Regions from separate parts of the Mus musculus genome. Here region 1 is reported to be linked to region 2. The links are microRNA targets in miRTarBase. Many come from high-throughput screens and were not tested one by one. Region 2 holds a microRNA gene; the other region holds the end of a gene's coding sequence.

Region 1 (4,398 bases), not on the chromosome of region 2:
AGGAGGTACCTTCCAATGGCTCTCACAATGGAGGCCCTAACCGCAGCCTGCTCTGTCTAGATTGATGGCTCAACTCTGCGCACCCTGTGCATGCAGCATGGCCCACTGATTACATTCCATCTGAACCTCCCACATGGAAATGCTCTGGTCCGTTACAGTTCAAAAGAAGAGGTAGTGAAGGCACAAAAGTCTCTGCACATGTAAGTTGCCCCAAGACTCCTGATGGGGAGGGGAGAGGCTGGGAGAGCTGAGAGTAAAAGCCCAACCCAAGACCCCTGTGTAGACCTGGTTAATGTGGACCAGGAGAGACTTAGGCGGAGGGATAACTTGAGCCTAGGCGTTGAAGGCTACTTCAGAAAATAGAACGTGACCTTAGATCCTGGAGAAGCCCTTGTGTTGCCTATGGGAGGCAGACCTGGTCTAGATGCCCCATAACCCCTTCTGGAACATTCACTCTGGGCATGGAGCAGGCCAGGCTCCTTCTGCACCTCCTTGGTTTTCTCTCGGAGCAGGTCACACTGCTAGTTGAGCTTATGAAGCCATGCATCTAGAAGACCTCATGTTGTGCCCTCTCCTCTAGGTGTGTGCTGGGGAACACTACTATTCTCGCTGAGTTTGCCAGTGAAGAGGAGATCAGTCGCTTCTTTGCACAAAGTCAGTCTCTGACCCCTTCTCCTGGCTGGCAGTCTCTCGGGTCCAGCCAGAGCCGGCTGGGCTCTCTCGACTGTTCCCACTCGTTCTCCAGCCGGACTGATGTCAATCACTGGAATGGTGCTGGGCTGTCGGGAGCTAACTGTGGAGACCTTCACGGCACTTCCCTCTGGGGGACCCCACATTATTCCACAAGCCTGTGGGGTCCCCCGAGCAGCGACCCCCGGGGAATTAGCAGCCCATCCCCCATTAATGCTTTTCTTTCTGTTGACCACCTGGGTGGGGGTGGGGAGTCCATGTAATGGCATAGGTATAGACGTAAACTGTGACCTCACGAAGAGAAGGAAAGGAGCACTAAGTTGGGCTCGCCGCCTGCAGCCAGGGCACCTGTGGGAACAGCTGTTTTCTGCACATTCTCCACTTTGTTTTCCCCAAAACATATCAGTTTGAATACTTGAATCATGCAGGCCAATATTATAATGTGAAAGGGTATCTATCTATTTACACTCCCAAACAGCGCCATACAGCTACCGTGTGGAATGAGCTCACTTGTGTATTCATCATGTTTAGCCTTCGGATTCCTTCTTTCCTCCATTTCCATCCCCATCCCCACCTTTTATTTTTATTTGTATTTTTTGCAAAACCGTTTTGGGGCTGACGTATGAGCTTTTACCTTTGCACTGAGTGATGTTCTCCGTCTAATCGGCAATATGGGGGCAGCTGTTCCAGTGTAGATGTTTACTCAAGGGTGTTCTCAAGGCGTGCGCTCTCTACTATGCCTCATGTTGCCTACCTTAGTGTGGTATCGTGGAGTTGAAAAGATCAAGTTAAGATACTGACGTAGGATTCTTAATGAAAGTATTGCACCAGTTTTTTCATGTTGTAAAACTAAAGAATTTCGCTCTACAGTTTGAGAAACTGTGGCCACCGCTGTGACCTGCAGCCCGCCTGCTGCCCAGGACGGGCCCTGCACTTTGAACAGGCTTTCCATGTTGTTTTGAAGGTTCCCACGGTGAACCTTCTTGTTTACAGATTTTTTTGTTTGTTTTTTGAGAAAAAAAATGTTTACTCTTCCATCATTTAAAAAAAAAAAATTAAAAGACAAAAAAAAAAAAAAAGGAGGGTGGTTTAAAAGACGCTTCTATCTCTGGGAAAAGAGCAGCAGTTGGCCATGTTCTTCTGTTTTCTATTCCTGTCCTAAATCAAAGAGCATGGTTCTCAGGAAACCAGTTCCCCGGTCAAAAAATCTTGTAGTTTCTTATAGGAAAGAAGAAAACCCAACTTTTAGCACTGATACTACGTATTGCTCTGTTCAACATTTTCTCTGCCAAAAAAAGAAAAAAAAAAAAAAAAGAAAAGAAAAAAGAAAAAAACGCGCTTCGAGCTGGAGTTGCCGTCTGCTTTCAGATGCTGTCCTTTAGTAGTGAGTGATGATGGTTTGCTAATCGCTAGGTGACTTTTGTAACCCCATCAGTGGCTCTCATGTCTCTGCTCTCTTGTGACTGTGTTCATGTTTAACTGTTGTACCTTAAAGCCGAGATCAGTAACTATGCATACTGTAACCAAGACATTGGGCTTACAGAGTTGTTTGTTGTATAAAAAATTTTAAATGTTGTTGCAAACTAACGAGTTACACCATTTTAAAATTTCTTTCCTCCCTAGCCCCTGTTGTTTTGCCCACAAATGGTATTATAATGCTTGCTTAGTCAAAGAGAGACTAAACAAGGGTAAACTTTTAACAGTACAGAATACGCCATCATTTCATTGCCTTGATTCTAACTGTTTGTGTCCTAAGATGCAAAAGAGGTCAGTGGCTTTTAACTGTTTACAATAGGATGTGATTGTAAATGTACAGTTTGGTTGTGTTTGAATTATGAAATCTTCAAATAATAAACCATGACTTTTTGGCTGCTCAACATTAATTGTCTCTTTTTTGTGGATTTATTTGTAGGCTCTTTTATAATGAAAGTTACAAAGTTGCTGCATGTGAGAGTTCTTCTCATAGAGCGGCAGATTAAAAATCTAAGCAAATATTTGAACATTTTACCTGAACTTGTCCACAATCACCCTGAGATAATGTGAGAACAGTGGGAACTGTAGCTTGCTCCTCCTCCCCTGAGCATCTGTGGGAGCTTGTTGTTGCCCAAAGCTCTTCTCTGGCTTCACCTTCCCCACCATCTGTGCCCATCTCAAGCCTCAGCGGGACCATTGGGACACGAAGCTGACTGCCGTGACAGCGTCCTAGTGTTAACCTCTCATACCTCACACAGTGGGGATGCCACCACCTGGACTGGCCTCTCTTCCCTGTGCCCTTCGCCCCTCCTCACTGAAGGAGCTCTGGGCACAGAACCTGTATGACTTCAAATCACGCTCCACTTGCCAGGTGTAAGCTAATGTTGGACACCGTAACCTAAGCAAATGTTTAATGCATTCGGTGTGTGTTGATGTCCATACTGGTTTTTCCAAAAACCAAAGGTAGCTTTGAAAAACCATGTGTGGAGATGTTTGGACCGTTAAGCTGAGTGACCGTTTGGGGCTTTGAGTAGTATATATCTGACTTCATGACTTCGTTAATTGTATTGTTAAAAGTGTTTGGGAGTTTTTTTGCGCTTGTTATGTGGAAATAAAGTGTTTGATTTAAAAAATATTTTAAGTGGTTTTGCTTTTTGCCTTATTAATAACTGCTGCTTTCTTATCCCCATTGTCTCCAAATCCCAGGTGTCATTGGGACCTCCCTCTTAGCCTTCCCTTCCCACAGGCCTGTGTCTGACAGAGCTCCCCACTCCTTGGGGCCTTTGTGAGTGAGCCTGAACTGACTCGTGCAGCGGCTCAGGCCTAGGGCAGTGTGCTCCTGCCTACACTTCAGCCAGAAGCTGCCCTGCAGTCTCTCTTCAGTGTCCACTGATCCGGAGCTCTGGGGTGTTACAGAGGGTGATTCTTAGAGCTGGAACTCCAATAAACCCAAAAGCCCCTGACATGACTAGAGTTTGGGCCAAAATGAGCTCTGGATAGCATTTGCATGAAACAGCGCCATAGAACACCGTGCCTCAAAACTGCACCCCACCCCCACCCCCCCAGTCTCTCCAGTTAGAGGAAGAAGAGTGTGAGCCACTTTCTGGCTCCACTCCTCCAACTATGTTCTGGGGATACCCAGCTCCACAAAAAGTTGTTAAGCTTTTATTTATTTTAAGATAGATTGATTTTATGTATGTGAGTACACTGTTGATTTCTTAAGACACCCCAGAAGAGAGCATCAGGTCCCATTACAGATGGTTGAGAGCCATGTGGTTACTGGGAATTGAACTCGGGGCCTCTGGAAGAGCAGCCAGTGCTCTTAATCTCTGAGCCATCTCTCCAGCCCCTGGCCTTTATTTTCTTACATCTATGTGTGGTGCACACATCCATGCCAGAGGAAGACATTGGGTGTGCTCACTACTCTCCGTTATGCTCACAATACACTGTCTCCCTTACAGCCTCTGCCAGGACCCACAGGCCTACTTAAACTGACCATAATGCCAAGCAGTGGTGGCACACACCTTTAATCCCAACACTTGGGAGACAGAGGCAGGTGGATTTCTGATTTCGATACCAGCCCGGTCTACAGAGTGAGTTCCAGGATAGCCAGGCTCAAAACAAAAGAAGTTGACCACAGCTCATAGTGTTCCATCCCTTTAATCCTGGTGCTCTGGAGGCAGAGGCAGATGGACCTCTGAGTTAAGGCCACGTTGGTCTACAGAGCAAGTTCCA
Region 2 (4,398 bases):
GGTGCATCTGGGTTGTTTCCAGCTTCTAGCTATCACAGATAAGGTTGCTATGAACATAGTGGAGCAAGTGCCCATGTGGTATAGTGGGGCACCTTTTGGGTATAAGCCCAAGAGTGGTATAGCTGGGTATTCAGAAAGATCTATTTCCAATTTTCTGAGAAACCTCCAGATTGATATTCAAAATGGTTGTACCAGTTTGCAATTCCACCAGCAATGGAGGATTGTTCCTCTTTCTCCACATCCTTGCCAACATGAGCTGTCACCTGAGTTTTTGGTCTTAGCCATTATGATTAGTGTAAATAATCTCAGGGTCATTTGATTTGCATTTCCCTGATGACTAAGGACTTTGAACATTTTTAAAAGTACTTCTTGGCCATTCGAGATTTTTCTGTTGTGAATTCTCTGTTTAGCTCTCTCTATACCCCATTTTTTGATTCGGTTGTTTGGGTTTTTGCTTCTTGAGTTCTTTCTATATTTTGGATATTAGGCCTCTATGGGATGTGGTGTTAGTGAAGATTTTTTTCCTCAATCTATAGGTTGCCAATTTGATTAACTGACTACATCCTTTGCCTTACAGAAGCTGAGAAGTTTCATGACGTTCCATTTATTAATTCTTGATCTTAGAGTCTGAGCCATTGGAGTTCTATTTAGGAAATACCCACCCCCACCTCCCCAGCCCAGTGCCAATGAGCTTGAGGCTCTTTCCCACTTTCTTTTCTATTAGAGTCAGTGAATCTGGTTTTATGTTGAGGTCCTTGATCCACTTGGACTTGAGCTTTGTGCCAGGTGACAAATATGGATCTATTTTCATTTTTCTACATACTAACTGCCAGTTAGACCAGTACCATTTATTGAAGATGCTTTCTTTTTTCCACTGTATATTTTTTGGCTTCTTTTTCAAATATCAAGTGTCCATAAGTGTGTGGTTTTATTTCTGAGTCTTCAATTCTATTACATTGATCAACCTGTCTGCCTGGTACAAATATAAAAGTAGCAGTTAGACCAATCAGGTCTGTGAAAAGGGTAATGGATTAAAAAATCTTAAAATAGTAACAATAATGATAACTACCGTATGTCAAGAACATTCAACTGACATCGACTCACTTCATCAACAATCCTGTCAGGTACTATGACAATGCAATTCAGCTGACAAAGAAGTGGAGACCAGGAAAATTAATACTTTCCTTAATTATTATAGAACCTGAAGCTAGGCTTAAGGCTATTTAGCAACAAATTACAGTGATATGTAAGATTTACACTACTTCTGAATCAAAATATTGGTATCATCTATATTAAGATAAACAAGTATCTATTTTAAATAGTACAGCAAGTATTTACTGAAAACCTAAATATAAACAGTATTTATAATAAGTGCCCTTTAGCTGGGCATGGTGATATACTCCTGTAATGCCACTTAAGTCATGTATCAATATGTTAACTGGTGGATACTCCAAGACAGCTGACGTAAACATCCACATCCCAGCCAACGCATGTATGACAGCTGAGTGTAGGATGTTTACATGAACTGAAACTTGGCTTAGAGAGAGACTTGAGAACTCTTTACTATGTTTATACTTGGTTTTTTACTTGAGGCTCAGACAATTTTGCAGAATCTGTTGAAAAAAAAATTAGGCACAGTGATCTACATGAGGACAAAATCAACTTGAAAGATATCTTCAGAGTAAGTATAGAATCCACAGAAACAGCAAACATTTATCGTTCTCTCTTTCATGCTCTCTCTCTCTCTCTCTCTCTCTCTCTCTCTCTCTCTCACACACACACACACACACACACACACACGTATGGCAAGAACACAGGAATTCTATAGCTTTTCCCACCTAAAGGCAACTTACTGTTCTGACAGCATTCAACTTTCTCCACCCTTTCCCTCTCTCTAAACAACTGCACCTCCATTTATAGGAGCCCATTTGATGGGCAATACGGTGTACCAATCCCCTATTCTTCCTTAACACCCAGGTCCTTGCACCACAGGCATGGCTTTCCCATATCTCTACCATGGGCCATTATTTAAAACATGGTAGCAAGGGGTAGCACAAGGACATCTACCCCTTTCTGTGTTCCTGATTTAATTAAAAAAAAAAATCACCAAATTCCTTTACTAAACATTAAAAGTTACTCTTGGAATACTTTCATCAGGGAAGAAGTCCTTAAATTAGGAAATAAAATTACATATAACACTGTCAGCAAACTAAAACTTCCTGGCATTTCAAAGATACGCCATCACCTCAGGAATCTCCTGTTTTCCTGGAGCAGCATTCTCAAAACTAATCTATCCCCACCTCCAACTCCTTTCTCCCCTTTAAACATGTTGCTTTTTCCTGTTTTCACTACAATTACAGTTTGCTTGTCTGATTTCCTGCTGTTTTTTGTAGACACATTTAATTCTTTGGGGTGGGCCAGTCCTTTTTTGCAATCAAACTTTAGGGTTTGGCATGGTGACACACACCTATAATTTGAGTGCTCTGGATTTTAGTTCTAGAGCAACAATAGAAACTTAGGAAATAAAGCAGATTCCTAAGCTCTATCCCAGACTTACTAGGGATGGAACTCTTTTTGGGGTCCTGCAGTCTGTGTTTTAGTAAGCTCACTGTAATTGTGATGCACAGTAGTATTTGAAAGCTGTTTTTCCTAAGTACATTGGGAAGCTAAAGCACTGGCAGCAGTGACTGTCCAATAATCAGGGTGTGCATAATGTACTACTGACAAAAGTTGACAAGCTCAAAACCTGTACCTTACAGTTCACCCTCGCCAACCAGCCTAGGCAAACAATCTAAGACAGAATAAGTTTAAAAGGTGCATAAACTCAGGAAATAAAACTAAACCTGTTTTTCAAAAACTTAGCATGCACAATAAATATCAGAACAGTAATCCAATGAATGCAGTTGTAACAAAATCCAAGTTGGACCCTGCTAATGCAACAGTGAATATGTTCTGGGTTAGAGGTTTATGGTCCTTTCTCAACTACACCAAGACTATTGTTGTGCAGAGAGAGACTTGAGACCATGGAGACAATGAGGACTCAACCAAAATGTATCTTTTTTCTATGAATATTTCTGAAATAGATTTGTAGAATGTATTAACTCAGACTTTATATACTTATAGTTGTCTGCTTAAAAATTAACTCCTAAATCATACACTGAGGAATAATATCATTTGTACAATGGCTGAGAACTACCTCGACATTTAGTATTCGTTGGACCAAAATAAACAAACATACAATAGTAAATAAATTTCTGAGATTTTTAAAACTGTACCAAAATTTACACATTTTCTCCTGAAAACCTAAGTTAAAGGCCAAGAAAACAATCTGTTTTAAGTTTATTGGAAAAGAAAGACAACCCAATTTTCATGGCTCAACATTCAACTGTCAATGGTGCAGGCCAACATGAAGTTTGTGGTGTTTTTAAGTTAAAACATAAATAAGTCATCTGCAGATGACGAAAAGGCTGTACTTAAATACATAGAACCAAGAACATTGAGGACGCAAGCGGACATGGTCTCTGATTTTCTTTCATTAGGGCAGAATAATACACAACAAATGTTTCACACTAGACTAGCATTAACCCTGAAGCATCCAGGGATAACTAGACTAGGTAAGCAGAGGATGGTAGCTTTGTGCATAATGACTCCTCCTCTTTTAGCTTAGATTTGACTTACCATTTAAAAAAACACTTCAAATAATTTTTAAATAAGTAAACCATGTAGTTTTTATCCATGCCATTGAATTTTAACTTACACATCAAGGTTTTATGGAAAATAACCAATGCCACCTGGCCAAACAAAATAATTCTATTAACAGAAGACACATCACACTCTACCTTGGCACAGAGAACTTTATGGGCTCCTAGCAATATCTCTGTCCAAAAATGATCAACCAAGCTCTTCTCTTAAATTAGTCTTGCACACTACCTTTCTAACAAAGTAGTACTTAAATGGATCCATAATAAAAACTGGAAATGCAACTCAGCAGTAGGTCGCTTGCTTAGCATGTTCAAGAACACTAGGTTCAAACTCCAGCACCAATAAACAAGTAAATGGAAATATACTATTAGAATAAAATCATTATTAGAGTACTGTATATCAATATACACATTTTATACATATGGTATAAAACGCAGAATTATAAAGACATAATATCCATGTCTCCAGAAAGGCTACAATCTAATCCAGGAGAAGCATATAAGAAATCAGATTGGCAGGAACTGTATCTTCTGTTTTAAGTCTAAACTGAACCTAACTCAGCTTAATAGTAACGAAAATAATGTCTGCTGGGTATAGTGGTGTGTACCTTTAATGCCAGCATTAAGCGGGCAGAAAGCTGGTGGATCTCTAGAAAGCTGGTGGATCTCTAGGAGTTACAGGCCAACTAGAGCTACA

Evidence for each region. The annotated mature microRNA mmu-miR-30b-3p reads CUGGGAUGUGGAUGUUUACGUC and lies in region 2 at 1,462-1,483, opposite strand. An mRNA with a match to its seed (bases 2 to 7 or 8) in the 3' UTR can be bound and repressed. Matches are read on the target gene's strand: a 7mer-m8 pairs with bases 2 to 8, a 7mer-A1 pairs with bases 2 to 7 and ends in A, and an 8mer does both.
Region 1: the mRNA of Tnrc6a is a reported target of mmu-miR-30b-3p. The part of its 3' UTR that is shown has no 7-base or 8-base seed match.

What each region holds. Positions count from the first base shown.
Region 1 is chr7:123,191,999-123,196,396 of GRCm38, forward strand. It overlaps Tnrc6a (trinucleotide repeat containing 6a), which reads left to right. Exons shown (of 24, transcript NM_144925.3): 23 at 61-200; 24 at 581-3,298. The coding sequence ends at 953. Among named protein-coding and RNA genes, the nearest start is that of Slc5a11, 21 kb to the right of the region's middle.
Region 2 is chr15:68,335,970-68,340,367 of GRCm38, forward strand. It overlaps Mir30b (microRNA 30b), which reads right to left and starts at 1,541; the gene lies at 1,446-1,541.